Linked DNA regions of Drosophila melanogaster. The protein of the gene in region 3 interacts with the protein of the main gene of each other region in a pairwise test. Each region holds a gene or a part of one and is shown on either strand. Other genes may lie near its edges.

The links.
Region 1: the proteins of CG14153 (region 3) and CG17233 interact in a two-hybrid assay, tested with the Drosophila melanogaster proteins (one large-scale study listed by BioGRID).
Region 2: the proteins of CG14153 (region 3) and CG13731 interact in a two-hybrid assay, tested with the Drosophila melanogaster proteins (one large-scale study listed by BioGRID).
Region 4: the proteins of CG14153 (region 3) and Cpr92A interact in a two-hybrid assay, tested with the Drosophila melanogaster proteins (one large-scale study listed by BioGRID).

What each region holds. Positions count from the first base shown.
Region 1 is NT_037436.4:20,236,672-20,244,385, forward strand, and holds the start of CG17233 (uncharacterized protein), read right to left. Parts: upstream 4,848-7,714; 5' UTR 4,604-4,847; exon of another isoform or gene 4,448-4,603; intron 4,436-4,447; exon of another isoform or gene 4,382-4,435; intron 3,862-4,381; 5' UTR 3,825-3,861; coding exon 3,192-3,824; intron 2,943-3,191; coding exon 2,067-2,942; intron 1,240-2,066; coding exon 1-1,239. Other genes in the region: Clc (clathrin light chain), read left to right, coding at 6,127-6,786; CG6951 (uncharacterized protein), read left to right, coding at 7,496-7,714.
Region 2 is NT_037436.4:17,381,267-17,391,805, reverse strand, and holds CG13731 (uncharacterized protein), read left to right. Parts: upstream 1-2,849; 5' UTR 2,850-3,058; coding exon 3,059-3,061; intron 3,062-5,343; coding exon 5,344-5,412; intron 5,413-5,471; coding exon 5,472-7,778; 3' UTR 7,779-8,170; downstream 8,171-10,539. Other genes in the region: CG13728 (uncharacterized protein), read left to right, coding at 9,173-9,286, 9,486-10,539.
Region 3 is NT_037436.4:10,640,781-10,647,413, forward strand, and holds CG14153 (uncharacterized protein), read left to right. Parts: upstream 1-2,747; 5' UTR 2,748-2,762; coding exon 2,763-2,810; intron 2,811-2,876; coding exon 2,877-3,542; 3' UTR 3,543-3,835; downstream 3,836-6,633. Other genes in the region: CG32066 (uncharacterized protein), read right to left, coding at 421-685, 752-1,014, 6,083-6,346; CG14154 (uncharacterized protein), read left to right, coding at 1,246-1,821, 1,924-2,097.
Region 4 is NT_033777.3:19,595,542-19,602,664, reverse strand, and holds Cpr92A (cuticular protein 92A), read left to right. Parts: upstream 1-3,709; 5' UTR 3,710-3,830; coding exon 3,831-3,839; intron 3,840-4,173; coding exon 4,174-4,902; 3' UTR 4,903-5,163; downstream 5,164-7,123. Other genes in the region: CG7333 (uncharacterized protein), read right to left, coding at 69-180, 238-744, 802-1,219, 1,280-1,538, 1,598-1,784, 1,849-1,991.

The DNA.
Region 1 (7,714 bases), 9.6 Mb from region 3:
TTTGATACGATGCCCATCATCACCGACGAGTCCTGCCAGTCCATCAACTGCCTGGACGGCGTCCCCCGCTGACTGTGTGGCCTGTGAGGTTGTGGGTTCATCTCCGCTCCCAGAACCCTTGCCTTTCCGCTTGTACGGAGCTCGTGGGTAATTTAACTTCCGCGATGGCTTCACTACCGGCGGCGGATCATCGTCCCGCTCGCCCTGCAGAAACTTCAGATAGCTGTCCATAAACTGAGTCTTCTTCTCCCCAATTAGCGTGCCCACGCTCACAGGCTTGGGAGCAACAGGACTGTACGCCGTGGATGCACTGGCTCCGGTGCTTGAAGGCGCCACGGGCGTCACCGCCGAATGACCATGCCCATTGTTGGAGGCATGCGAGTTGGGTGGACAGTTCGTTGGCTCCGGGGAAGGAGTCTTGTTCGGATTACGTATGCCAAAGTTCGTGTTATTTGTGGAGGAGTTGGTCCCGCGCCCGTTGCTGGACAGTGAGTTGGCATAGCCCTGCTTCGGTGTTGCTGTGGCATCCGCCAAAAAATCCAGTTCCTCTTCGATGTTAGGCACGATGACCTTGTTGCTGGCCGCTGCTGCTGCTGCCGCCGCTGCAGCCGCGTTCGCCTCCTCCTCTTGCTGTTGAGTGGCTTCACTCTTCTCCTGACGCTGCTGCTGCGCCTGCTGCTGCTGTTGCTGTGTGTAGGCCTGCTGGTGTTGCTGCTGCGTATAGGCTGCCTGCTGTTGCTGCTGTTGTTGTTGTTGCTGCTGCTGTTGTTGCTGTTGCTGCATACAGGCAGTGTACTGAGAGGCAATGGGCTGAGGGAAGGCTGGATAGTATTGCGCCAACTGGGTCAAGTGTGACTGGGCCTGCGAGGACTGCAGGTGTGCCGGCTGTGGCAAGTGCTGCTGCTGCTGCTGCTGCGCTTGCTGCTGCTGGTGCTGCTGCTGTTGGCTCTGCTGAGGATATGTGGGTATGTTTATTGTGGCCGCCGGCGAAACGGACGCCGCATTGTTTTCCGTCTTGAGCGGAGCATTCCACTTGCTGTTGAAGTCGTAGTACGTGTTCTGTTGCTGCTGTTGCTGATTGTGCTGCTGTTGTTGTTGCTGTTGCTGCTGCAACTGATGATGCTGCGGCTCCTGGGGACTGCGCACATTGCCGTAGTCGCTGCTACTGGGGATAAGCGTTTTCTTCGGTTGGCGCTTGCGCGGAGTCTTCGCTGGTTTCGGCGGCGGCTTCACCTCCTCCTGCAAGCAAGTGTGAAAAGAATGCGGATTAGAACACTCGGGATCACCAAAGGTTATATGCAAACAGCACACTATCAATAGCTTGGACATTGGGACATTAGAAACGGTTGGTAAACGAGTACACTGGCTGGTAAAAAGAACAGTCTGCTCCCAGAACATTTTATGGGGTATTAACAACTGGGCTGCGAGCGGCATACGCGTTTGGTGCTTGGGTTTACCCCCATTAGGATTGGATCATACCATTACAACATAACGTCACAGTTTCAAAGTGGCCACATGACTTTAAACTAGAGAATATCAGTTAGCAGTTTTTGTTAGATTGAACCGAAGAATTTCAAATTAAGCGATTAATAACAGAAGGCCAAAGAAATAGCTTCCACCATAATACAAGAAATAATCGAAAGGGCATGCAAATTTTTTTTAAAATATAAAGCTACAGAACAGGGCTTTAACGAAATAACCTTATATTCGGGAAACTGGATACTTCTAGTATTTGAAAGCAAGAAAATCTAATTAGTACTTCTATAAATGTAGGTTTCAAATTCTTAATTAAAATAAATATTGGAAATTTTGCGTCCAAATGAGATTTTTTATGTAAGCTACCAATAGTCTGTTAAGGTACGTTTTGTTAATTCAAATTTATTTTTAGCCAATCAGAAAGAAAAAGCGCACAGTGGAACTAAATAAGAGATCTTCCAAACTAGTCCATTTAAGTTGGCAAAATCTTGGAAGAAATAGTGTGAAAAGCAAATAAAACGAAATAAAGGCAGAACACAAACAAATTAATAAACAAATAGAAACGGAAATAAAAAAAATTAAATACAAACCTTTGGCACTACTTGAATCTGTGACGCTAAGTTGCCCGCCGACGGCGACATGATCATGTTGGCCACCACGTGCTGGCGCCGACCGGAGGACTGGGATTGGTTTTGATTGTGCTCCTGCAGCTGCAGTTGCTCCCCATCGACCACGCTCGCGGGATAGAAGGTTTGCTTGATCTCCAGCCCGGGCGGTAGGTTGAAAACTAGATTTTCGCCACCACCACCGGCGTCCACTGAGGATGCCTCACTGGCAAAATCGAGCTGCCGATGTTCCTGTTTCACCTGCAGCTGCAGCACGTTCTTAATGTCCTCCTGCCCCGCTCCATTGTCCTCCAGCTTCGTCCAGCAGAGGTTCTGCTGCTGCTGCTGTTGCTGCAGGGTGCTTTGTATCACAGATGAGTAGGCCACCGTGGTGGGTGTGGCAGCAGCAGACGATCCAGCGCCCGCTTCTTGCCGCCTTTGCACAGGGGATGCCGTCTTGTAGACGATCACCTGGGCCTGCGGTGTGCTGACCACGTCCACCGCATGTAAATTCGTGATGGGCGATCCATCTGCGGAGCTTAGCGCCGGACTGGCATATTGCACCGGATAGGATCCCGCCGGAACTGGCACTGCCAGCGGCACCGGACTGGCATCCTGTTGGTCTACTATCGTTGCCCGATACGGCTGGCCATCCTTCCGCGTCACCTTGACCTTCCGGCCATCAATGGTGTAATAGGTGTCCGGTTCTGTGTCTGCCTCGGCGATCTCCTGTTGCAGTTGCTGGTGGAGCTGCTGCTGTTGCTGCTGCGCCGCTGTCTGTTGTTGCTGCTGCTGCTGTTGCAGTTGGATCAGGTAAATCGAGTCGTTGTAGGCTTTTAATTGCTTTTCCTGCTTAATCTGCTACAGCGCACCGTACATAGATTGAATCGGAATCGGAAAGTGTTTGGTTTGGGATTGATTCGACATAGAGAGGCTAGACTTAGTCTATGCTTTGATGGGTTTATTGGAAGGGATGTTATGTTAGTATGCGATAAATGCGATAGAGCCTGCGGGGTTTTAATAAGTGTGTGTGCTTCCCCAGAAGCTGGCGTAAACCATAATAGAAGAGTGATCTGAAAGCCGAACGTAAAACAAACGAATTCTACTCACCACTTTGTCGGCCACCAGGTTTAGCTGTTGCTGTTGCGCCTGCTGCTGTTGCTGTTGGGCCTGTTGTTGCTGCTGTTGTGCCTGCTGCTGTTGCTGCTGTGCCTGCTGCTGTTGCATGGCCAGGAAGGTGTTCGATATCATGTTCGGCGTGTTCCAGGTCAGCGACGTCGACGTCAGGGCCACCGTTGTGGGCGATGGTGAGGCTCCACTCGACGAGGAGTTCTCCCCGTAATAGTTCGAGGCAACATTGTTGACTACAGCAGCCGCTGCCGCCGACACGGCCGCCTGGTTCTGGAACGAACTGAGCTGCTTGTCCAGCGAACTGGGCAGCTGCAGCTGGCGGTGCGGCGTGCTCACCGCTGACGAGGCATAGTGGGCGGGCTTAGGCTGGACACTGGCCGCCGCCGCATGGTGGTAGATCTGCTGGAATACTGGGTTGTAGCTGCCAATCGGTGACGGAGGCACAAAGCTGCCACCACTGGCGGCCGCCGCATTAAAGCTGGCGATGCTTGCTGCCGTAATGGTGGCCAGGTGTGGATGCTGGAAGTCCTCTGCTGTTCCGCCGGAGCTTCCGGCACTGGCGGGCACGATGCGGTTGTAGGCGTATGACCAGGGACTGGAATTGGGATCCATGTTTGGCTTGGGCTCTTCTACTGCTGATGGCTGGTAACTGAAACAAATAGCAAAACTTTAGTGGTTTTTGAATATAATTAGCGGCTTATATGTAAAGGATTAACTAATTGGAGTTTATTATTGCTCGGATACATTTCCAATGGTCATGTGTTAAGTCTAAAAATCCCGCCCATATTTATCAATTTAGCGGTAGCTTAGATTATAACATATTTATATTGTTATCACAAGTTGCTTGCCATGGCATTCATAATATAGAGGGGAAAAAGGCGCGAATTCAATTAATGTTATTTATGGATCAATAATAATTACTATAAAATTATTGATATTTATATGTGGTCAAACATATTTTGTTTATCTTTTATTGTAAATCAATAAACACATAGTAGAAGTACACTTTAGAATGAAACACTCCAGTTTTGGGGTGTTTGTTCCCCAACTTTTCTGCACTGAAGGGATCCCCCTATTTTTTTCGTATCTTCATTTTTTTTGTATCCCTTTTGGCCACGATGCGCTTGGTTCCCCCTTCAAAAAAATTGGCGTCTGTATTTTTTGCCTTGGCGCTCGGCGGCAAGGAGACCGCATTTTTGAAGTTTCAGCGTCAATGGGTTAATGTGGGTGCTCACTTATGACATTACAATGACGGGGCCATCACATTGGCTGGGATTTATGCTGTTTTTGGCAATGTTTTTCTGCCTGGGAATAGGATTTTTTCCCGTATTTTCCGCTTGTACATATATGTATCCATGCACACAATCACACACACACACACACATACTCACACACACGGGCGTACATGCGTGCGTGTTGGAAGATAGTCACTAACTTTTAGTCGTTATAGAATCGGAACTGTCGGTCTGCTCGGGCCCAGCATTATCTTCACATCGGATCGGCCAGCACAACAACGCTTCAATATGCACGAGCGGATTTTATGTTTAACTAACAGCGAACGTTCTTTTTTTTAGATTCGGTGCATAACTTTTTTGTGGATGAAACAATCTCCAAAATGGCCGCTCTGCTGCCAGTGAAAAACGAACCACTGGCTCAGGTGAATGATGCCACGGTGAACTTGTTCATCGGTTCACTAGTTCGCGCGCCGAGTGTTTATTGTTTGTTTTGCCGTCGTCCTCGCATTTCGTCTTTGTTAATTTCCTCAAAAAGTATACTGCGTCTTGTGTTCTTCGTGGCATAGGTTAGTCAAAAACATAATTAAGTCATGTTGTGTGAACAATTCACCGTGAAATTTGACCAGCAATTATATTCCCATGTGCTATGCAATAGCAACAAGTGTTGTATAATACGCTTTTTATCGGGTCTACAGTCATTACTAGTTAACTTTGTTGTGTATTTACATTTTACGAGCATTTATTAAGGCACATTTGATAAGATATAAACAAATTAATCGTAACTCCTCTGAAGGTTGTGTTTACTGAACTCGCGCGTTTCCTAACACTGATCAATTGGAACTAGTTGATTTCAAAAACCATGAGAACTTTACAAAATCTGAAAACAAAAAAAAAAATAAAATAATTCCAAACTTAAATATTATATTAAATCTAGGTTTTATTAACTATATGTACGGTTCTAAATTATATATGAACGAATCAAGCCACCACCATTACACATTTTGCAACACTAATTGACCAGAAACCCAGTGGAAAATTGACGCTGCTGATATAATTTAAAAGTTTAGTTAAGGAAAAATTAAATGTTCTTACTTTGGTTTTTTCAACATACATTATCATAAACTTGTAGCTTAATAATACAAAATGTAGCTAAATCTTTAACTCGTTATCCGTGATGTTAAGGAATGTTGAATTCGGCTTTGACAAGTAAAATAGTTAACAATGGTTTCTGTTCCTTAAATATTACTAATTTGTATACATTTAAAAGATTTGGCATAATAACTGGTGTAAAAAAATATTTATTTTTTAATATAAAAATCATAACATTAAATTTAAAACCATCGCGTTGCGATATATGTTGCATTATCCAGCACTGTTCGGCTGGAACCAGTTCGATAGCCCGCTGTTTTATGGTTGGTTCACGTACTAATGACAGTCATTTTACGTATTCATTGCTAAAAGAAAACTGAAAAAATACATTTGACCAAGTTTCCGGTTAGTCATCCGCCCACACCGATCTTCAATTAGTCCTAACCGAATCAAAGGAGAGGTGCGTAGTGCCCAATTGTCAATGAATCGGGGGGAATCCGCCAGCAGCTGGCTGCTCCTCTGCGTACGTGTAAATCTGGGTGAGACGCCCACTAAATAGCAATCACAACATTTCCAGAGAGCACATAGCCATGGACTTCGGAGACGATTTCGCTGCCAAGGAGGACGTGGATCCGGCGGCCGAGTTCCTGGCGCGCGAACAGTCAGCTCTCGGGGACTTGGAGGCGGAGATTACGGGTGGATCTGCATCAGCTCCTCCGGCTGCATCCACAGACGAGGGCTTGGGTGAGCTTCTGGGAGGCACCGCCTCCGAAGGCGATCTGCTCTCTGCTGGCGGCACGGGTGGCCTCGAATCCTCCACTGGCAGTTTTGAGGTCATTGGTGGCGAGTCCAATGAACCCGTGGGCATATCCGGTCCGCCGCCGTCGCGGGAAGAGCCCGAAAAGATACGCAAATGGCGCGAAGAGCAAAAGCAACGACTGGAGGAGAAGGACATCGAGGAGGAGCGAAAAAAGGAGGAACTCCGACAGCAGTCCAAGAAGGAGCTGGACGACTGGTTGCGCCAGATTGGCGAGTCCATATCGAAGACCAAACTGGCGTCGCGGAATGCCGAGAAACAAGCCGCCACCCTGGAGAATGGCACCATCGAGCCGGGCACCGAATGGGAGCGCATAGCCAAGCTCTGCGACTTCAATCCCAAGGTGAACAAGGCGGGAAAGGACGTCTCCCGCATGCGATCCATCTACCTGCACCTCAAGCAGAATCCCATCCAGGTGCAGAAGAGCACCTAGGTAGTTTTAATTACGCACTCGCCTAACCACATTGAGTTGAATATGAAAATTATTATTGAAAGTATTCGCTGTATATTCCAATTTATGATACATAAAATATTATTATTGCTGCTATAACATAGCCGCGATCATCGTTTTGTCTAATGAATGCAATAAAGAATGTGCACACAGTTGTCATGCTTTCCTTGACTATCATATACCCCATCACACAAAATAAGAAAAACGACATGAAAAAGTTAGGAAAAAGAACAAATAAAAAATAAAACCAAGGATATGACAACTAAAGTGTTTTTTCGTTCATTTTGTTAATCAAGCAGGGTTGCACATCAAGGGGCTTTAATTACTTCCAGTTTTGTTGTAAATAATATTTATTGCTCTATAAAACGCATTATACAAACCATTTATTATTCTTATCTCTAGTTAGTTATACACATACAACTTGTTTTCATCATATATGTGTGTTGGAAATATCAATGGGTTGGAAATGGAATATGGTTGTGTATGGATTTGCATTCATTAAATGATTATTAAAATAAAGACATACAGACAACTGAGGCAAGTATTTGTCATTGCAGAGCTGGTTTAATGTATGCATTATATGAATGAAATACGCATAAAGAAACCAATTACGATAATGAAAAGTGGATATCAGAAATCATAATTTAATTATTTCCATCGCTTAATAAGGTTTTCTACTTGTTTTGCAGAAATGGCTGAAGTTTCCGCTCAAGATTTGATATCCCAGTTGTCGAAGTCACCCGAAAGCCACAAGAGAAAGGAATATCTGCATTGGGATGACTACTTTATGGCCACCTCACTGCTCTCCGCCAAACGCAGCAAAGATCCCGTCACCCAAGTGGGCGCCTGCATCGTGGATTCCCAGAATCGGATAGTGGCCATTGGATACAATGGGTTCCCTCGCAACTGC
Region 2 (10,539 bases), 6.7 Mb from region 3:
TATTTCGTTGTATATACATACTTAAGAGTATTATTATAGAAGGATTTAAGGACTCAATTATATTTTAATCAAGACTTTCCAACTCTCTAATTTAAAGATATTTTGGACTTGGGTTTCAGGAACTTCTAAAAATTGGTAAAAATTTTTCCTACTAAGAACTTTCCATTTCAAAGTTGCTGTGTTGTAAAATCCAGTTCGAACCTTTTATAAAACCTTTGGTAATTCCACTTCCTAGACCAGAACTCGAATCCAAATTTCAAACTGAGCACAAAAAAGCGAAACAATGTGGCAAACTAGTTAGTCGGGTTGGGCGTCTGTTTAGCTGGCGGATTTACATAAGTATAAATCTTAAGCAGAAAACAATATAGTCCGCCTTGAGTGAAGCCATGTAGAAGTTACCAGAGATTCGCGTTATGTATTGGGACAAATTTGCATAAATCATAAGCACAATTAACAATCTTTCGGTGCTCCCTTCTCTGCCAACCGCTGACGCAGGTGACGTGACATTTGACTCGGAAATTTATATGATTCTCTCCAAGACAAGATCCGCGAAATTTGAATATCCACGCACTCTGAGACGCTTCTTTATCCATTCAAAGATGCGTGAATCTTCTGGGTGGGTAGAGAGTCATCGGCCTTCTTATAAATATTCAGTGGCGACATCTTCTTCTCGGTTTTCTATTCTTCGGCGAACACTTTTTATTAGCCGATTTGCGGTTGAGTTTTTCGAGTTGCTGGCCAAGAGACTTGATTTCAATTTTAATGGCCGGTGCGTGAGGGTATTTAATTTGCTCTAGGATTAGATAAGTAATATTAATTGTCTACCTGAATGGGTACACGTCTTTAAAAACAAGCGTCGAGGCATTTAAGAATACAATTAATCTACTCAGCAGTTTCAACATGATTTATATAATATTTAATTGTGTTACAAAAAATTTGCATCTGCAGAATATGGTTCTTTGTGACGATTTTTTTTTTTGTATTTACCAGAAAAAGAGTGTAGTTAGTTTTATGATTTAAGATTTGTTTATCTCGCTTCTCGTTTTGTTTTTGATGACTAAAAATCCCATTTATACAAAATAATGTTCGGAAATAGCGCCAAGACAAGATCTCCATTCTGATAAAACATAATGAAAAACTAGATATTATGATTTCCGCGCCCGAAGACAAAGGCTCATAACAATTCACATACGAGCTCTGAAACTTCCCTAGATTAACAAATATATTTTTAAATTATCCAAATAGCAACCTGTCTAGAATGCGGTTTAGAACAGGCTCAAGCGACGGTCTTGTTTGATTCGAAAACCGCTAACGTCCTTCAGTGGAGTCCAAAATTTGAGGCAGCAAATTATCAGACACTCGGTATGGAAGTTGAATAATCGTCTGTTGCAATGTCGGATGAGGTGACAAAAAAAGGCTTTTCCTCTAGCCGGCAGTCAAGAAGCATTCGATGAGCCAAAAACTAAAAAAGAAAAAAATAATAAAAACAATTCAGTCGCTTCAGTTATCCGCAATGACAAATTTGAAATGTCAGCAGTCGCCGCCAAGTGTCATTGCCTTTGTGAAGATGTGCGAAGCAAGTTATGACCCGAATAAGTTAGCCAGCAATTATGTAATAAAAGACAAGAATTAATGTGGCTCTAAGTGGCGTCTGATGGCCGCAGGGGTGACTTCCGTTCGGCTGCACTTCCTCTGGGTGTTGTTCCGCCGTTTTATCTAGACCCTGACTACCCAGTGACCACGCACCTTTGGGCCGAAAGAGTTCAAAGTCACATCTATTTTGGGCCCGCTCATGACTGCGCGTGGCCAGTGGGTGTCACTCTGATTGGTTCATTAAAATCAAGACGTGACTGCTTGCGAATAAATAAATTCTAGTTATTAAACTGGCGAAATGCAGGCGATGACAAATGCCGAAACCCGTTTGGGAGTCGCTCGAAGAATGCAGCACTGAACACCGATCACCGATCACCGATCATCGAGATCTTCGAGTGTGCGTTTAAAGGTCACTCGGCTGACACGGAGTCAGAGATGAGCTGAGCCGAGCTGAGCCTACCTTAACATTCAACTCCGGCTGCCATCTGCTGACCCCCGGGCACACGCATTTTTGGCCAAGTCAACCGGTTCATGTTCAATTGGCCGACTCCAACTCCAACATCGACTCGCAACTCCAACTGCATTTAGGCCTGATCCGAGGGGTAAGTGCCATTAGCCAACGCCTGATCTTCTCGGCCTTATTTGCCTTGGCAAGCTTCGTTGGGAGCCTTGACTTGGCTCTCGATCGTCGAGCCAGCTTCGGCTTGTCTCATCGATTGATGAAATTCGGTGGCTCGGACCCATTTACCAAATTAAATGCTGCACGACAACGTGTTTAACACTCGCCGCAGACTTCTGCCAAAAGTACGAGCATATTTGCCAGCCATCGGAGTTGGCTAAATAGAAATGCCAACAAGAGCAGGCGTTGGTGGATGGATGGTCGGATGGCCGGATGGTGCGTCTGGCTTAGTTGCTCTTCTGCCATAATTGCTGGGCCTTAATTTGGCTGCCTTTTTGTCTTAGCCATGTTATCTGGCTGTTAACTCACAAACATCAAACAACCGAGACTGGTTGGCTTTCTGGTCAGCATTCAGCTGTCGGCGTCGCTGTCGACGAAGGCTGAGGCATCAGCAGCGGCAGAGACTTCGTATTCGGCTCATCTTCATCTGGCCAAAACGCTTTCGATTTCGGCTTTTGGCCGTGTGTTAACAGCTGTCGCCCAGGTGAAGATGCCTCTGCCGACGCCGCTGCCCAAGTGGGCAGATGCTGGGTCCGAGTATATATAGAAAATCTACAAGTTTTGATGCTTTAGTTGGTATTCCACACTCGACCTAGAAGTTAAACCAACTTAGCTTGGCATCGATCAAATTCAATCGTCCATTGAATTTGATACGATCGGTCGCGTCTTCTCCTTTCCGATCCTCACAGTACCGTCCGCAAGGATTATTCACGCACACCGCCTAGGATTACCTACGCACCCGGGATTACCGCAACTGCCGTTTGTAGCAGTCCGAAAGTGTACACCATGGTAACCGAACCCAGTTCCAATCCAATCTAAACCAAAACGAACAATGATCGTGTGCAAAGTGCAAAATAACGAAACAAGTGTCCCTCGGTGTGAAGACAAACAAGACAGACATTTCGCAAAGGAAAAGCAGTGCAGATGAAGATAAAAAGTATCAGTTTTGTTGGTCCAAAATATTTAGGGAGTTTCCACGTTTTATAGTTTGGGCTTGTGACAGTACAGAAAATAATTGAACGAATACGAATTTTCAATGATATTTGTATTCAAACTTTAATTTTAAATTAAAACATTTCTTGTGTTAAAATAATGTGTCAGCTATTTAGCGCTAGATCTTCAGAAATTTATTAATCCGAACTTGTATAAAAGGATACTAAAAAAGCATGTTCTACAATTTTATAGGGATACAATCATAAAAAAGGGTTATAAGATAAGATAGGGCCTTTAAGTTCATTCAAAATCATTCCGATTTTTCTCTGTGCATACCCAAGCATCGCAAACAAGAAGAAATAGCAAATAAATTGCCAACACCGACTGCAGTTCCAATTCAATCGCCATCTATTTGCATTTCACATTTTGTCGAGGGTCCAGCTCTGGACCCGGGCTATCATCGCGAGTTAAGAGTTGACCAGATGGCGGTTGACATTTAAGCCATGTAGAAATTGAGCAAGTGGCATCGAGTGCAATGTTACGCATACGCCGTGTTGGCCGCCCACAGAGCAAATCGCCTTGGCGCGATCCGCAATTTGCGTATTAAGTCATTAGGATGGACCAGCTGCATGTGCATTCTGCCATGTGGCGGCAGTTTCTATGTCAGCATTGACATGGCTGAAGATGAAATTAAAACTTGTTTTTTTTTCCATAATTTTCGCTTTTGCTTCTGACATTTGCTAGTCGCAATTTGCGATTGGCGTATTTAGGTAAATAGCCATAAAAACGTTGCCTTAAGTTAGATTCTTGACGTTGCCATTGAATAGACGTCCATTAATCACCATCATTGTTGCCAAAGAAGATTTCATTTGTTAAAGGGCCGACTGATCTTTTCCCCAGACTTTAATTCACCCAAATCTCTCACAGTTTCGGAAAAATAAAGTTGCCCCAAAAGTCTTGGCATTGGGGCTCTGCCCTCGAGGCGGTGTGAATCAGATTAATTAGCTGCCAATTAGCTCACTGAACAGTCGAGGGAATCGGTTTGCCCCTGCAAATATCTCTCCAAGTCCTTTCACTTTCTAACCTTTAAGCACCACCCGCCATAAGTCAAACCCGATTTGGTTCTCGATATCCTCAGCTCAATTGTGGCTGATATTTAAAACAAGTTAGAACAGCAAAAATTTTAGGTTCATTAGCATAAATTATTTAAAATCATTTACATACAAAGATCAAATATTTTTGAAATTAGCAAACAATCAGAAACCAACAAAAAAAATAAATGAAACTGGACCCAGTCGATTTTGGAGGTATGGCTTAAAATCTAACAGATTTGGTTATAAATGACAACCGGGGCTTACTATTCTTCGCATGCCAGATGCGTATGCTAATTTTGCGTTTTCTCACTAGTTTTATGGCCAGTCTTTGCTGATTATTATATAATCATGGCTAGAACTGGTCTGGAGTTTGGGGCCCGGATCCGGGCCGGTTTCTTTCATAATCGGCTATTTTTATAGCCCCCGAAAATTCTCCGTCAGCCAATTAATTGAGCTCATCGACACTGGCCATCTGCGGCCATCGACGAGCACTTTCATTAACTAACAATGACCTTGCCGAAACTCCAGCGACAAATGCAAATAAACCCGCTGACAGCATCGTCGGAAGCCATAATTCAGGGGCTACTTCCTCGGATCCCCATTGAGCTTCGGATCTGTTGTGTCGCTCCGCATTTGCATGGGCATTATGTATCAATCGCGTCAATCTGCGATATTTACATACATAGCTCCGGGGGAGGGGACTGACCTAGAGATGCTAATGCCCGTCAAAGTTGAATGTCTGCGTTAGCATTTCGGGTGATTTTCAATGCATTATGGTAAATCGATTCGCCAGCTTGGCTGTTTGTTGGCTGAACTTTACCACAGTTTTGAACTGCAGGCCAGCGGAGTTGCCTTGCCTCCTCCGACCCCGACCAAGTTGCCACGAAGCGTGAATAGGCGATTAGCCTAGAAGGCGATCAATTAGTCGCAATCAGGTTGTTAGAGCCAGTCGTTAGTCTGAGCACCTCTGTACGGCGACACCATCGAAGTCCATCAATATGTAGCATCACTAATCAGGCTGTGTTTTTCGTTCCTTCCCCACAGAGAAGTGCACTGTTCGTCTTGGCGCTTTGCGTTGTGGCTGTGGCCACCGCATCGGCCGATAACCATGAGGTAAGTGCGGAAATCTGACGATTCCCTGCCAACAGGAACTTACAAGCCACTTTTTACAGCGCAAGACTCGTGCCGCCGAGGGATACTTCTACCCCCCTCCCGATGTTCCATTCGATCTGCCCGTCCGCACCACACAGCCGCCAACAAGGCCGCCAACGCGCCCTCCTACTAGGCCACCCACCAGGCCACCCACCAGGCCTCCCACGCCACCACCAACCTACCTGCCGCCCACCAACAAGCCACTGCCACCAGTGACCACCCGTCTTCCTCCACCACCACCACCACCAAGGACTCCTCCCCCAACGAGGCCCCCAACTAGGCCACCAACCACTCGTCCTCCGGCAACCTACCTGCCACCCACCAACAAGCCACTGCCACCAGTGACCACCCGTCTGCCTCCTCCACCACCATCACCAAGGACTCCTCCACCAACGAGGCCGCCAACTAGGCCACCAACCACTCGTCCTCCAGCAACCTATCTGCCACCCACCAACAAGCCACTGCCACCAGTGACCACCCGCCTGCCTCCTCCACCACCACCACCAAGGACTCCTCCACCAACGAGGCCCCCAACTAAGCCACCAACCACTCGTCCTCCAGCAACCTACTTGCCACCCACCAACAAGCCACCGCCACCAGTGACCACTCGTCGTCCAACACCACCACCAACGAGGCCACCACCACCACCGACCCGTGCATCGACTCCAGCTCCTACCTACCTGCCTCCCACCAACAAACCACTGCCACCAGTCACCGTGCGCACCACTGTTCGCACCACTCCTCGTCCAACTCCTCCTCCTACCAAGCCACCAACTCGCCCACCAACCACTTATCTGCCACCCCCAACTGTGCGCACCACCCGCCCTCCTCCACCACCCACTCGGCCACCAACTAAGCCACCAACCACTTACTTGCCTCCCGTTACCGTGCGCACCACCCGTGCCACCCCCCCACCAACTCGCCCACCAACCCGGCCACCAACCTACCCACCGACCACTCGTCGTCTGACCACTCCGGCTCCTACTTACTTGCCACCCACCAACAAGCCTCTGCCACCGGTCACCGTTCGCACCACCGTTCGTACCACTCCTCGTCCAACTTTGCCTCCTACCAAGCCACCAACTCGCCCACCAACCACTTACCTGCCACCCCCAACTGTGCGCACCACCCGCCCTCCTCCACCACCCACTCGTCCACCAACTAAGCCACCAACCACTTACTTGCCTCCCGTTACCGTGCGCACCACCCGTGCCACCCCACCACCAACTCGTCCCCCAACTCGCCCCCCAACCCCTCCTCCAACTAGGCCACCACCACCACCAACCCGTGCATCGACTCCAGCTCCTACCTACCTGCCTCCCACCAACAAACCACTGCCACCAGTCACCGTGCGCACAACTGTTCGTACCACTCCTCGTCCAACTTTGCCTCCTACCAAGCCACCAACTCGCCCACCAACCACTTACTTGCCACCCCCAAGTGTGCGCACCACCCGCCCTCCTCCACCACCCACTCGTCCACCAACTAAGCCACCAACCACTTACTTGCCTCCCGTTACCGTGCGCACCACCCGTGCCACCCCACCACCAACTCGCCCACCAACCCGGCCACCAACCTACCCACCCACCACTCGTCGTTTAACAACCCCGGCTCCTACTTACCTGCCACCCACCAACAAGCCTCTGCCACCGGTCACCGTTCGCACCACCGTTCGTACCACTCCTCGGCCAACTCTGCCTCCTACCAAGCCACCAACTCGCCCACCAACCACTTACCTGCCACCCCCAACTGTGCGCACCACCCGCCCTCCTCCACCACCCACTCGGCCACCAACTAAGCCACCAACCACTTACTTGCCTCCCGTTACCGTGCGCACCACCCGTGCCACCCCACCACCAACTCGCCCACCAACCCGGCCACCAACCTACCCACCCACCACTCGTCGTTTGACAACCCCGGCTCCTACTTACCTGCCACCCACCAACAAGCCTCTGCCACCGGTCACCGTTCGCACCACCGTTCGTACCACTCCTCGGCCAACTCTTCCACCCACGAGGCCCCCAACTAAGCCACCAACCACCTACCTGCCTCCCCCAACTGTGCGCACCACCCGCCCTCCTCCACCACCCACTCGGCCACCAACTAAGCCACCAACCACCTACCTGCCCCCCGTCACTGTTGTGCGCACCACCCGACCTCCTCCACCACCCACTCGTAGGACCACCGTGTACGTGCCACCACCAACAGTGCGCACCACCGTGTACGTGCCACCCCCTACGCAGCGCACCACAGTCTACGTCCCACCCGCACCCACCAAGCACCAGGGCTACCAGTACCCCGTGCCCAGCATCCCCTTCAACTTCTAGATCTAGAGATCCAGATGTGATTAGGGATAGGGCCATCGTCTAGGGCTAGATTGATCTAGTCAATTCTCGTACAGTCTAACTTTACACGATCCGGCGCCAGCGGTGCTAGAGGGCGCCACTGGTGCGCCTGCAAGGACGACATTTGTTTGTTTTTATTTTATTTTTGTAATTAATGAATCGCATACTCATACAGCTAGGGATCATTGTAAATGAGTGCCCCAATTGTACAGCTAACAGTCTATCCAACTCTTGCTATGTTCTATCACTATTCTACAATCGATGGGCGGCCGTCGTCTGTGACGGACGCCAGCTCAAGACTATATAGCTCTATATTACGATTAAATAAACTTTTAATTCGGATCGCTGAAACCTGAACAATAAAATAAGTTTTTCGAATATTTACAAGCATTTTTTTCATCTGTTTTTGGGAAGCGGAAATTACATGCGGTCCTGTTATGTTATGTGCGATGTTTGAAACCCAAACAATAATAACATATTTTCTTTTTCACTCCTAACCGGGAAATGGGATCAAGCCATGTCCGGGAGATTTTGTGGTCTGGTTGGTCTCGTGGGTTCCTCCTCTTTTGGGAGTTATCTTAAAAGTCGGTTTTAACGACTATGCAAAGGAGATCGTTGCTTGCAAGTCATAAAGCGCCCAAAGTGCAGGTTAGGCAGTTAACCTTGACCTCCACTTCTGGTCTCTACTAATTTAAGTTATGGATGTGAAACACGTTAGCTTAGTTAATAGGTTTGAAAAGTTCGTATGAGTAGGTATTTAAATACATGTATGTTTACTATGAGCGATGTATATTTTCATGAAATATGAAATAATTTAACCTTAGGTTATAATTAAATGTCAAATTTGAGATATAGTTAAAATGTGATTTGAACTTATGACTTTTAAAATATTGAATCGATTTTTTTAATATAATTATTGATTATCACTAAATGTTATCATTTCCCTTTTTAAAAAGTATTTCACTTATATACAAAATTAGAGCTATGGCTAGTCAGCTCCTTCGTGAGTGCATAACCACTTCGGTTTCATCACGCCCCGAAGATATTTCTAGTTACTTCGCAGCTATCTTCAGATTTTCATGGTCAATGCGTTTTTTAATATCTCTTTCTTTTCCACTTGCCTGGGAGCACGAATTCGCCTGAGCAATTAATTTATTTATCTGTCTGTAGCTTGCTGTTTTGCTTTCGCAGCCAAACTCTATTAAACTTTCTAATTAAGCTGTTGCACTTGGGCCGATATAACCGACGCTTTTTAGGCGCCGCCAGCTCCCAGTTGCAATCAGTCATCGTTGCGATCCGCGATGAGGCAGAAGCTCAGGCCCACATTCATCAAGCGATAGGCAAGCCGAGTGGTTCGAGCAGCAGATCCCGGAAAGATGTTCATGCAGTCGGCAGTCGGTCAAGGACAACGGGACACTCGAACGCGACTGGATCCTTGCTGGACTAAAGGCAGGCGGTGGATTATGGGCCTGATCCTGGTGTACACAATAGTGAGTTGAGGATTCGAACCTCTTATACAAAAGGGTTTTTTTTTTATTACGCAGTACAGTGTAATTGGACAATTTTTGTTTGTTGTTTACATATTTTGAGTAACAATTACGCGAAAATCTAGACATGAGGAAAGGGGGCCGTAATTGTACATCTCCCAATTATCTCTTATCTTTGATTTCATTTTGTGTGTACCCGCAGATGTCTCTCATGGTAGTGAAGGTCGCCTCCGCAGCCACTCTTTATCAGCAGCACCAGCAGCAGCAATCTCTGAACGACATTGAGTCCTCAGCAGACGAGCCATCCCAGGCCACCACGGAGATCGAGCCCTCGGACAGCGACAGCGACATCGAGAAGATGCGGGCCAAGCTGCAGCAACTGCAGCACGAGCAGCAGCAACAGTACCTGCGCCAGCAGCAACAGCAACTGCAGCTGCATCTGCAACAGATGCAGGCGACGCAGGGAGCTGCTGGGGAAACCGCCTACTTATTGGAGCGTGCCGATAGCAACATTGCACCCATCTACGGGACGTGGCGCACGAAAGCGCAACGGCAGCAACACGCAACATCTTCGCACGAAACGGACGACGCCCATGTTTACGAGCGCCTGCCCAAGCGATCGGCGACCATGACGCCACTGAGGGGGTTGCTGCGAGATCAGATGCCACGCCCCCCGCGCCTCACCACCCAGGATATGCAATTGTCCCTGGGCTCACCCTCTCCGCCACCGGCGCCCACAAAGGGTTTGCTACGAAGGCAGTACTCCGAAACGCCGGGAACCCGAGCACTTCGAGGTCAGGATGAGTTCAAGCCAAAGCCGTTCCACTTCCCCTACGATGGTCCGATGCCCGAACAGTTCACTAAGGGTGAGGGTCGACCCGAGCTTAACAACATCCAGGATATCCTGCAGCATCTGCACATCGGAGGCTTAGCGCCCAGTAAGCTGCCACCAATGGTGATGATGCCCACGGGTCTACACATCGCCGGTACGTTCAAGAATTTCAAGTCCAGTGGAATAGGGAACTTCTTTCGCGGCAAGCGCAACAAGAAACAGATGCAGTTCACCATACCGATGCCCATGTTCCCCATGATGTCTATGCCAATGCCATGGTATAATCCCGGTGTGATGCCCCACCAAAGGGTGGCCATCGATCAACTGTATCCTTACAAGCCCCGTTCACCGCAGGATGTAAATCTGTTAGCCATGCAGCCAGTGGGAAACGGAAAACCATTGTCTAAAAAGAAGAAAAAGAAGC
Region 3 (6,633 bases):
TTAGGATTTATCTCATACATCTCGTATACCCAAACATCAGTTTAAACTTTGCGCTAATTTGTTTTTAGGTTAATTGGGTTCCTTGCATTACTTAAAATTAGGGCTAGATTAACAACTAAATATTGTTGCTGCTGATATATGCGTCCCACTTTTTGTCCGACTTCTTTGCTACGTTACGCGGAGGCTGGAGTCTAAAACAGTACGAAACAAATGCTGGAAATGCACACAGGGTAAAAATAAAACTAGAGGTTGCCTCCTGCTAGCACAACACTCGCTCACAATTTTTTACAAATAATACAGAAGCCTACTAATTACATAAATAAAGGTAAAAAACCATTTAAATCGATACGCATACACATAGAAATTAACGTTAATGAACTCTCCGCCCACACCGGCCGCGCCCACCGATCCCCTCCAATATTATGCGGCCAACAAACGCTGTATATTCTTCGGCGTGTTCTCCCCATTCAAATGCTTCGTCGTGTATCGCAGGGCATTCAGCAGCGGCTCCGCCTTGATGGCCGGTTGCGCCTGCAGCAGTCGGACGCACCCCTTCACATCCACATGGGCGCCACGCACGAAGGCTCCCTCCGGATGCACATGGTCGTAGAGGATCACCAGGCCGACCATTACGCGCAGCACCAGCATTTTCGTGTCCTCACGCTCGATCTGTTGCAGGAGTTTTCTAAAAGCAATATTGTCCATCGATTAGAATACTTATTATCATTGATAGTGATTCATTTAAACTCACGGATTTTCCAGCATCCTCAGGCACACCTTGGCCATGGTGCCCAGCGTTTCCGTCGTGTTCTGGACATCATCGGCATTGTCATTGACAAACTTTGAGGTCGCCTCGCTCAGCACCTTGAGCATGGGCGTGGCGTGGGCGTAGAACAGGGACATCCGGTTGGCCAGTTCCGTGCTGACCAGCATATTCTCCGTGGAATCCACACGCTGTCGGCTGACGATGCGTCTGTAGTAGCTAAAATCATTCTGTATGGCGGGGGTTTTCATCTGAAAAATAGAAATATACAATACAACTTAATAAGTTTATCACTTTGAACATGATTTTAGGTATGCAATATGCCTAGCAATGAAATATTATCTGGCATCATTTCGAAACATCCGTCAAAATGAGCAAGCAAAACAGTACGGGATTTAGGAACATATTCAAAAATATTTACAAACGAGACATGAAAGGGTAAATTGAAAATTATTTAGTTAGTTTTCTAATCAACTTTTGGGATGTTGATTCGCACCGCTCGCAGAAACAGACAGAAGACCTTCGTCGTGGAGGATTCCGAATCGCAGAAGCCCGAAAAGAATCCGAGTCCCGAGCGCAAGGAGGATCGCAAGGAGCGCAGGAGGGAGGAGGAAATGGAACGCAAGCGGGAACTGGAGCGGCGAAAGGAACTCGCGAGGGAAAAGGAACGAGAGAAAAAGCAGCATCAGCAGGAGTGGCGCAAGGAACTGGAGAAGGAACGTCAGCGTGAAAAGGAATTGCAGCGTGAACATCTGAGGAAGGAGCCATCCACTTCCTCCAAAAGGGTAAATCCAGAAATCACCAAATTCGACGAGGAATTCGAGCAGGATATTCAGAAGTTGGAGCAAAGCATTTGCCAGCTGGACTTTCGCTCCAAAACGATGGCCACCATGTGGATGGACAAGCTGCGCCAACCACCACAAAATGCAGACGAGGCCAGATCTAGGAACATAATAACATCCCATCTGCTCAAGTGCTGTGGCGATAACATATTCAATAAGGAGCCATTCAATCATCCTCCGCCACCACAAAATTTGACAACCATAAGGGAGATGATGGTGCGTTTAAAGCAAGTCGTTCTTGAAATATTAAGCTATAGTCATATTTAGACAATTTTTTCTTTTCACTGAAATCTAATTATTTTGTATTCTTTTTTCTAGTTCTTAACGCGCGATAGTACGTGCCACGGAATGCCCATTTCCAAGCAGATGGAACCCAACGCCAATCTAACCCAATTATTTAGCGATTCATACGATGGTGGCGAGTTCCTGAGAAAGCTTCCAGTGCCACGTGATGGGGCATTCTTTATCTATTACATGCAACCAAATTTGTAGAAGTGAATTGGATTTTAAAGTAACGCCAGCTAAATTTCAAACATAAGTCTTCAATTTGTATTTTTTATACAAAATGTTAGTAAGAAAACGTTGATACCCTTTACTATAATAAAGCAAGCTCGAATTGTTTCTAATTTTGAAGTTCAGTCATATTTTTAGATAAGATACATATGTAGGGAAACGGACTTGTAAGTTTTTCTTCTAGCAAGCAGCTTTATCAACAAGATCATAAGGTATGCAACTATCGGTTGCTTTCAACACTCGCTCTTGTTAACCTCTAATTACAGTTGACTTGAAAATCTAATTACTAATTACGCGGTACGTGACACCGCAATTTGCCTGCCGCCCGTGTTGCCAATGCTTCCAAATGGTTTTCCACTACGGGCCAGGCCCAAAACAACGATGCCGCACTTAAGCTGTCAGGGCTGCAAAAAAACGTGCGTGAGAAAAAATACAAACATTACAGAAATGCCGCCTGCTAAATTTTTGAGTCAGGTAAAGTGGGGTTTGCTCATCCAATCACCTTGACAGAGGCGCTGCTGCAAACGAACATCATGCACTACTATACATTACTATACTATATATACTATATGGCTTTCCAGAGAGACTGTTGTGAAACCTCATATAAATACGTTATTAGCATAAATCGTTCTGAACAGTCAGAAATGAAGCCGCAAACAGGACGGATCGTGAAGAGCAGCTCGTCGAGCTGGGTGAGTGTTTCACTAGATTTCCATTCGGACACCCGAGATGATTAATCTATTAATGATTATTCCAAGCTATGTGCACTTATGCCCCTGATGATCGATGCAGTTTGTGGGAGAGCTCAGTATGCATCACCTTATGGCAGTGCTTATGCAATTACCACATCCAACTACGCTCAATCCAACTATGCCAATCCAGATGTACAATCGATATGGTCGGGTCCGCCTATCATAGTGAATGATAATCAGTACAGTGCCCAGGAACAGCAGCAGTATCCAAAAAGTAATGGTTATTATGTTGCGGAACCTGCGTATAGACAAGCATATCCAAATTGGAGAAGGGAAGACCCAACACATGCTCCCAATCACAACTATAACAATGTGCCCGGCTACTTTTACTATCAACAACAGGAGACTACGCCATCAACACCTCTGCGCTATCCTCAATCTCAAATTCCACCTCAACTTCAGCCATATCCACAAAGGAATCCGGAATTGGAGACCAGCGATTCGGGTCGCGATGAGGAGCAAGTGGTCCAAATTGGCGGCAGTCGCTCATTGGCCACAAATAACTATCTAAATACGTACAATAATAAGGAGAATTTCTATGAACCCGCTCAGCCCTGGAGGCGTCGTGATTACCAGGCCAAATATGCCCAACATTTTGCCGAATATTTGCGTAAATATCCAAGACGCCTGCAGCCAGTTTACAACACCAACGAGGATTTTGTTGAAAAGTAGGGGAATACTCTGCATTTGACTTTGCATCAAAAAACATATTGAATAAATCCCCTCAAGAGCCATTAGCAATTTTCGTTGAAAGCGTGCCAAGAAAACTATTTCTGTCTGTACTCGGAACAGATCAATTGCATCCGATAAAGATACAGATTGCAGCTGCTGTAGAGTCAACATGCCAACACAGTAAATATTGGTTTATCCCTTTAAAAGGCAAGAATAATAATAATTGTATGTAACAAAACTATGCTTAGTTAGTTCCGTAAGAGATACACAACAATAAAAGTTATTTTCAGAAGATTTTAATTAATTTAAAAAACTTCACTAAAAGGGAAATACCCATTTTTTGAAGCATGTTCTTTGTATTCTGTGGCATGCGTTGAACTTTGAATATCAGTGGTTAACTTACATAAAGGAGCACTAAAGCCAAGTTTATTGTACTCTATACAAGTGCCTTCTCGATGCCCCAAGATTTTTCGCAATAAACGCGACATTAAAACGAAGCAAGTTACAAGCAAAGTCAATAAATTGTACAGCATACTTTGGGGCGCACTGAAAACTGGTGGCAACAAAGGCGCAGAAACAATGCTCCTCCTCTTCGAGAAACGGAAGTGGCAGTTAGTTGGGAAGCACGTTTGGGCTATATAGTATGTACATACATACATATATATATATCGGTGTATACATATATGCAACTTTTTACACGGGAAAATCTGTGAGCGCCCGGCGGCTGACACTTTGAGCACACAATGAACGTGCAGTTTGCAGCGTTTAACATCATCATCATCATCATCGCCATTATCATTACCATTATCGTCGGGAGCACAAAGTTGCAGACACACTAGACATCAGAGACTAGAAACCGACGATGGCGATGACTTCGCCATTCCCTACCTCCACCATTATTTACCCGATTGTCCTAGATCCCAGCTTTCAGCTATACATATAGTGCTCCACAATCGATTTGAATGAAAGTTTCGCCAAACGGAAGCGAACCATGGGAAATGCGCCATTCACAGGGATTTGCCATTAAACAAATCGATTTTATTTGACTCCAGACAATCAACCGGCATATCCTCCAACTGCCGCAGAAACTGATGTGGCTCTGTGTAATGTGTTTTAACCCAGTGCGGGGATACGTTTGTGTTTGCATAGTTCACAGGCCTTTGTTATGGCCAAACACTTCAGGTTAGCCAACATAATTGAGTGTTTGAATTTCATTAAAAACCTATTGATTTTGTGGGCATTTTTTAAAGAGTTTATGCTAGGAAAATAGTGTGGTTATTGTGCGTTAGTTGCAATGAGTAATATATAATCAAACAAGAACGGAAAAGGTAATTTAAAATAAAATTAGGAAAATGAAAAAATACTGAACAACGTTCCTTTTATAATAATCACAAAAAAAAAAAACGCTGTATAGTTTTTACACACGCACTTAATAAACATTTGTTAGCTCTCATAAATAACCTCTTGTTTACTTTTTGAATTGTACCCTTGTAAATCTTTCTCAATCTAATTTTTCCGTCTTGTACATACATTTTTATAATTTTCTTATATAAGTGAGATATTCTACTTTAATGACCCGCACTGTCAGGCCACCGAAGCCGACATAATACACTTTACATCTTCATCCGGCCATCGGTCGTTTGTCGTGGGCCATTTGGCTTGCGTGCGCGTAAGTGCCAGCGATGCTCCACTGTGGCCCCCCAACGAATGTGCACGAGTGGCCCGAAAGATTTTTCATCAATGGGCCGCAGCACGCGCTCGTCTTGGCCATTCAGCCAACCAGTCAGTCAGCCAATCAGTCAGTCAGCCATTCAGTCAGTTAGCCAAGCAAAAACAGGCAGTAGTCGGTGGGCAAAAAAAAAGTCAGTCAATTAAAAATGCAACCACGCGCACCATGAGTTGGCAGTGGAACTCGGTTTGGCTTCATTTGACTCGGCTTTTAGATACATATTGCTTTGCTTTGGCTCGACTGTCGACAGCGCCCACATAAGGTAAACAAACAGTGAAGAAGACTGAATTTAACCCACTAACATTTTTGCAAACAGACGGAGATTAAATTGAATTAAGCCTTCATAAGACGTTGTCAACATTTGCATCTCTTTGCTGTTTGTGGCATCTGCAAAGTTACAGGAATTACCAGTTCGTTTGCAGTGATTACTAGTCTCTCGTTTAGATTTATTAAGATTTATGTAAAAATCCATTTAAGTTTTTATGCCATTTTTAGTGCTTTGTTATTGAAAATTTAAGTATTATTGACATAAAATGTATCTGCAAAGGTTTTTGTTTCACTGTAAAATGTTTACTTATAATTAAAGAGCCCTCTCAATCACTTTGTTTTATTAATTTAATAACCCACCCATTTCCCACTAATGTTGCCCTGTCAAACACAAGCAATGTCTTGTTGTCAGTGCCTGGTTTTCCCACCTCCAGCCATTAATGGGTTAACGTCGTGGGCGTCGTTACATCCAAATATGGACTACAGAGCTTGTAACACCCAGCTGTCAAAGTGAGCAAACTTAAACTAAACTCAACTCACTCACCTTGTACTCATCGAACTTCAGCACGAACTCCAAGATCTCGGCCAGCTGCTTGACCAGCGCCTGCTGCGTCTCCAGATGCTGTGTCGGATTCAGTTTTCCGCCCACCAGCTGGCCCAGCAGCTTGGGCACAATCTTGTCCAGCTCCATGGAATGCTCGTAGCAGCGCTTCAGCTTGTTCACCAACGGCAGCACCGCCGCCCAGGCTTTGGCGGTCACCTCCGGCGATGGATCGGCGATGGCTTCTCGGATTTCCTTGCCGGCACCCTGTAAATATTCGCAGGAACGAAGGCGGAAAAGCGTAAGTCAATACATTTGGCTCTAAGAAGGATTAAATGCTAGCTTGGCATGCGAACCTTAGACTTGGAACATTTTTACACTCGAAACCTTTTGCAATTTAAAAAAAAAATGTTAATTGTATCTATAGATACAGACTACAGATACAGATAGACTTTCCTATATATAGTTATAGTTTAACCTCTGATAGATAAACTAGGTCTTACGTATGTAATACACTAATCTAAAATATCCATAATTTTTTCTTACAGTGCACT
Region 4 (7,123 bases), on a different chromosome or scaffold from region 3:
AGTCGGATGACAATGACAAACTAAGTCTCAGTGTTCTCAGCCAGAGGTTCACTTTAATTTGTCTTCAATTATACACTTTCAGTCCTAACATTTTTTTCTTTTCTTGAAAAACAAGGAAAGTAGAGGAAGCTCTCGTTCAAGGCAAACTTTTCTCCATCCGCCAAGGTTTCGGGCAACTTCCTAATAGGAATCGACACAATAAATAATTTGTTCAGAATAACAGTTATATATACTAACTTGTTTAAGGTCTCCGGTAAAGTGAGACAAAGTCCAGCTCCAAAGAACATCAGGCAGCTAATGAAGATCGAGGGGAGAGGCTTGTAGTATTGTGCCAGGTAGATCACATAGAAGGCCAGTGAGCTGGATGCCAATCCAATGACATGGATGTTGGATACCGCCTGTCCTCTCACACTGGTCGGAATGATTTCCGCCGCATACTGTATTTCCGCATCGTAGGAAACGGTGGCTCCAAATCGTCCCAGACCTACCATGATAGCCAACAGCAGGGCGTTCTCCGTGGGATCCAAGTGGGCTATCATGAAACCCGTCGCCGTGGTAATAAGTCCACCCACAAAGAGGGCGGTGCAGGCCATGCCCTTGCGTCCGATCTTGTTCTGCAACAAGAGGATAGCAACTCCCGCTGGGAGGTATACAATCGATGTGAAGGAGAAGAGCTTAAAGGGCGAAGTGCCTAAGCCCTCCATATTCCGGTTAATCACATCGCATGAGAGGGTTATAATGACTCTACAACCGAAAGAAGGCATTAAATAATGCACTAAGATCCAAAAGTAAAGAACTTACGACTTCACGAGCAATGTCAAAGTGAATCGACGCAACCGAGGGGTCAAAAACATGGCTAAGAAAGTGTCCTCGTGACTATTAAGCTTGTAATCCTGAAGTTCCCTTTCCCGATAGTATTTGACAAACTCATCGAAAACGGACTCCTCCACATGTCGCCTATTGAACTTGGCCACTTTCTTTAGACAAATCACCGCATCGTCGTACTTCCTTTTGGTCAAAAGCCACTGAGCACTTTCGCAGATCAGGAATGGATATATAAGGACACCCAGTGCTGGAAGAGATGCCAGCCAAAGGTAGCGTCGCCAATTACCAATCCAAATGGCGGCCCAGGGCGAGGTCATCAGTCCAAAACAGTAGAATACAGCCAAGATGATGTTGAGGCCAAAGGTACGGCTCTTGGGGCTTAAGTACTCAAAGACTGACGATATGGGGAACGTAGATTAATTTAACCTTATATTTTGATTTAAAGTTATATTACCCAATATGTACATTAGGTAGTACATGGTATCAGTGGATAGCCCTGACATAAATCTGGAAAAGGCGAACCAGGGCAGCGTGTGCACAAAGGAGGTGATAAAATCCCCAGTTGCACCACACAAGGTGGCCATCAGCAGGGAAGGCAGACGACCTACTTGATCCGACAGATAGCCAAAGATTATGGTGCCCACGACTGAGCCCATGAAGAAGAAGGATTGGCCCACTGCTGGATGATGCGATTTGTCACAAACCCATTTGAGCTGAAGTGGGTTTTCTATATTGTAAATCTTTTCAACAACGTTTTTCAATGGCTTCATACCTCGGTGGTAATGCTTTCGTAGCCGCTCTCCCTGTTAAAAATCCAATTCCTGCACTTTCGGTTCGTAGATACAACACCTGTGCCGTTGACTACGCCCAAAAGGGGCGTGCAGGATGAGGCGGATATGTTTTCATATACCGAGCGAATCCCTTCAACACTGAGACCATTAAGGTCAGCATGGAAGCACCTGCATAAGAAAGATTGGATATTACATGGTCGGGACCAATCACCCATTTTGTGTCCACACTCACCAATGCTCTGGTGTGAAGGTGATAAGGGTCTGCGAAAAGTAGTGCAGTGATCCAAGAATATTTGTGTAGCCGTACAGCAAAAGGATCATCACCTGGAACCTGCCATAGTTTCCACACTTATCCAGAACCTGACTGAAATCCATCAGACGTTGCTTCGATGACATAAAAAATTTCCAAAGCGACTGACTACTTCCAACTCCCTTTGAGAACTGACCAGAAGCTAAATTAAACTGCGCTGGGAATAGCCATAAATTTATCTTTAGCGGCTTTAGGCAATATGTTTCATAAAGCTAAAACAGCTGGATGGGTTTTAAAATTACAGATATACCGTCAAATGTTTTGCCAGCTGTGAGCCCTGTAATTGGGAAAATATCTACAGGAGATGTCACATCTATCGCGTAAGTTTTTGTCGAAACAAAATTTTTGCAATTAAAATACCTACATACATACCAATATTGTGCTTAACTAATCCATTATTGACTAGATTTTCCATTCAGCCATATTGGCAACTTTGTAGCATTAGCCTGCCATTCTTGTTGATCAATTGCTTTGATCTTCTGGCTAAAAATAGTTAAAACAGCTGACATCGACTGGCCCGGCGGTTGGCACGACTTTGATTCTTTGTTATAGTTAGTTGTCGCATAAACAGGCCCGATGGTAACAGCAAGGGTAAGACAATGCATGCAGATGTCAATAGTTTTCCAGATGCCAGATACAAATTTGCAGCCATAAATTAAGCTCACAAAACGGTAAACATGAGAATTGTCGCAGACACTTGGTCGTTAGAGGCTGGAAAGGGTATTTTTGGCTAATCAGGCACTCTTAGGAACTAGCTGCAAACTTTTTTGGTCCTTCCAGAAATTATCTCAAGTTTATCATTGATTATAAACTATGTAACTGATCAGTATTCCTATTACAATGTGTCCTATCATAGTCAGCTTTTAGCATCTCCGCTACGTAGCAACCATTTAAGGGGAAGATCAAACAGAAAACCAGTCTTCAGCTGAAGGATCAGTCATGAGTAACCTTATATAGTCGTCATGCCACTTTTTGAAGGGTATTATTAATGACATTATTTGCCTAGACTGCAAGTGGTTGTTTGGCCTGGTCTGTGGGCCAGACTAATGTGCCGACAGCAGCGCGTTGACCTTTTGCTTTATTAGGCTGTTGTGGCGAGCCAGTCGCCCCTGTTTCCGCCCCCCTTCTTCGGTGAGCCTCTGGCTTTTGGGCCCACTCCAGGCACTCTTAATTCAATTGTGGACCACCTGACCTTTTGCGCATGCGCTGCAACTGCCATTTCATATGGAACCTCAACATCGCCCGGTGCAGCTTGTTCTTCTTAGCTAATTACGCGGCAGCCAAATGCAGCATATCCTAACATCCAGCCAATGTTAATGTAACATTTCAATTGTGTGCGGCAAAATAAATTTTCACATAATTGCCAAAAGTCGGTGTCCAAGCGGGTATTGAAAAGCGAATCGAAAACGAATCGTAAACGTCGCAAAAGTGAAAGGGCAAAGCTCGGGTTGGATTGGCTCCGGGGTCTGGGGACCCTTTAAATGGTTTAGCGGAAGAATAACCTTTCTAAGTCGACACGATAACTGCGCCAAAGTTGAAGCCAGGCACACGATTTGCCGCCAGGTGGGCAAGAGTCAATCCCCGCCCCCGTGGCTCCGCAGTACTGGTCCGCGCCATGTGCTTGATCGCTGGCCCAAGACACCGAAGACTCCGTCTGGCCGGGTCTCTCTTGATCTGAAATTAGTTTATTGCCTCGACTGCGCCATGTGAAGCAGGCGACATTTGCCGCCGTTTGCCAGTATAAATGGCCAGAACTTCCAGCGAACGCTTGCAGTTTTGGTTACTTCTTCTAGCGCGATCGTCGTCGAAACCAACAATACTCCGGCCACTCTCTACGTGTGGTGTCTGCTGAGTCTGTGACAACTGTGAGCGAGTGGAAAGGATACCCCTGCAAGGACATCGTTATGCTGAAGGTGTGAAAACAAAGGATACCAAAGTGCTCTTATAGTCTGGACAATCAAGTTTAAGCCGATTTAACATATTCTCAAGGGGAATGCCAAGATGAATTAACCAAGTGTTCCTATTACTAAAAGCTTATATTTTATTCATACAAAGAAAATTAGTGCATAAAGAAGATAGTTTAAGTCCTAATGAAACCCGTCGAATGATCCGAGTTAATATGTGATTTGATTTAAATTAAATTTAATTGCCAAGAATTATTCTAAACAATTCTTCCCTGTCCTCATATTACTTAAAGCTTATTTCAATTTAATCGCTTTCAACATTTTCTTTTAATTTTTTTTTCAGATTTCCCTGCTGAGCGCCATGCTCGGCATCGCCTATGCGGGCGTGATTGGACCCGGACCATACTATGGCGGTCCAGCTGGTCCCGGACCTCTGCACCACTATGGAGGATATGCACCGCAGCATGGGCCCCTGCCAGGTCCCTATGTGGCGCCCAAGCCGGCTGCTCCCGAACCCTACGATCCCGACCCGAAGTACTCCTTTGGCTACGACATCCAGGATGGTTATACTGGTGACCTGAAGTCACAGCACGAGACGCGCCACGGAGATGTGGTGAAGGGCAGCTACTCGGTTGTGGATCCGGATGGAACCAAACGCACCGTTGACTACACAGCGGATCCCCATCACGGATTCAATGCGGTGGTCCGCAAGGAGCCGCTGGCCTACAAGGCACCAGCCCACCTGGCACCCGTCGTCGCACCTGCACCCGCTCCAGTACCAGCTCATTACGGCCCAGCTCCGGCGCCTCCACTTCCGCCGGTGCCCAAGGCTCCTCTGCTTTCGTATCCTCTTGCCTTAGGACCTTACCACCGTGGTGCTCCCGCTCCTGCACCAGGTCCCGCTCCCGCTCCTGCTCCAGCTCCGGTGTCTGTGCCAGTGGCTACTCCAGTCCTGCCCTCCGCCCACTTCCATGCCGCCTATCCCGCCCTGGCGCACAGCCCCTATGCCCACTATCCGGCTCCAGGTCCGGCCCCCGCTCCAGTGGAACCCCATGCCTACTACCATCACTGAGGGACCAAGGTTCTCAACTATCTGATCTGATTTGATTCGACTTCATCTATCGCACGCAGCTTACACTGACCCAAAACTGAAACTCCGGCTATATCTGTGCCAAACGCTGTACTCTCAATCTCTTACTCTGTGTTCTTCGAGGGATTTGATACCGATCCAACATGTAGATTGATTCTAAGTTACCCCTAGCCTATGTACACGTCTTTAAGAAAATGTTGTTGAATGGTTAGTCTAGGAAATAAAACGAGAATTGAAAAACCTAACAAATTTGTTTGCGGTCTTCCCTAGAAACTATTAGATTGAAGTTCCGAAGCCAAGAAGAAAATAGTCCCACAAAAAGTTTTTAAATAATTTAAAAAACAACGTTTTAACGCAATTGATGAGTGTTTTATTTATTGTATCAACTTTTCGCAATGGTTCATATATGTATATGTTATATGATATCGTATGTGGCATATCTCATATGTATAATTTCTGATTATGTATAAATATGTATATGTGTGTTGTATATAAACGTTTCGAGTATGTCACCGTATGTTATAAATAAGTTTATTACAATGCATAATGTGTTATTATTTATGTATTATGTTTTATGTTTAATAGGTTCTATGAGCTACCATTCGTAGAACATACTGAAATGTTTTCGATATCGATATAAATTTATGTACTCCTCAGCCGACTTCAAAAGTTCATCAGTGTGCAGAGTGCGTTTTGGTCTCGCTGCACTCGATTAGGTATACAATTTAAATACGATTATAGTCCTTAGTTTTGTAATAAACGGTATCAAAAGATAGGTACAATTGAGTCATGCCTGCTACCACTAAATTAATTTCGAAGCTTCTATTCCAACAAAAACGATTAGTTGCCAAGCTCGGGGCTTTGTGTCTATCATTATCCGTCTGATTGATTTGATGTGTACGATTATTTAAACTAAGGGTCTTTAGGCTGATATACCATACAAAAGTGCTGTGCTCTAGAGGCCTTTACAGTTGGACACAATTTAGCTAAGTAATCTGCTTAGAATAAGAGACTAATATACGGTGTACATACCGCTAATATAAATAAGCGGCTAATATAGCTCACAGTATTCCTTGACAATTGTATAATATTTAATTCATAATTTCTTCGTTGATTGTTTGGCTTCGTCTCGGACTTCTCCGTCCGATTTCCTCGTCGGTTCTCGCGTTAGGTAAAAATCTATTGTAGACAACCACTGGATGATGAAGACTATTTCGGGATATGCTTGAATTGCGTTGCTTGATATCAGTTGTCAGTATATAAAATTGTGGACAAACAAATGGCAGCTTTGGCTATTCTCAACTCAGATCTCAGTTACTAGACTTGATGCTTTTAAATTCGTCCTCGACTACGTACTCCTAGAGATGGCTTTACCCATATAAAGTTTATATATTTGCCGTTGAATGGGATATGTTTCACTAATGATTAAATAGTTGACTTAAGCATTTTTGTTTCGATTTTGGTTCATTTGTTTATAACTTGAAACGGAGGGTTTTCATTTATTAAACTTGATTGGTTATTGGTAGGACATCTTTTCCACACTACGTTTCGGTTTCGGTTTGGGTTGGTACGGTTTGGGTTAGAAAAATACTCATAGTTGGGACATTTTACTACACAGAAGTGGTTGAATAATTTGCTAACTGCATTTTGTTGATAGCTATATCTCTTTATAAATAATTCTTTCTATATATAGTATAGTCGTGTTGCATTTTTTACTAAGTGCCCGAAAATTCTAGTGAAAAGTGAACCTAGCTTAGATAATTTAAGCTGATAGATGAGAAACATAAATGATAACAGTTTCTAAAAATGTTTCCATATTGTCCTTATTTTCGTTCCTAATTTTTGTATAATTTCGTTAACTAAAGGTGGAATTTCAGAGGAAATAAACTAAAGAGTTTCATGTCAATATATAGCTAATATCTGATATATCCATAAATATTTATCCATCTATGGCATATCTAGGTTAAAACTTTACTCTCTTTCGGATATATATTTTGCTTATGTTGATGTGAGTATTGTACGATTTTGGTTATCAAGTTATAGACATCTATATGTATCGATTCGATTAGTTCTTTGTGGTATTTAGGTATTTTAAAGCAGTTTTCAATATCATTTGATTCGTAAGTATATCTGAGTTATCCAAGTGTAATTTGACTAGTTTCATTGGAATGTTGTGGATTACCTAATATATTTGAGGGTTTTG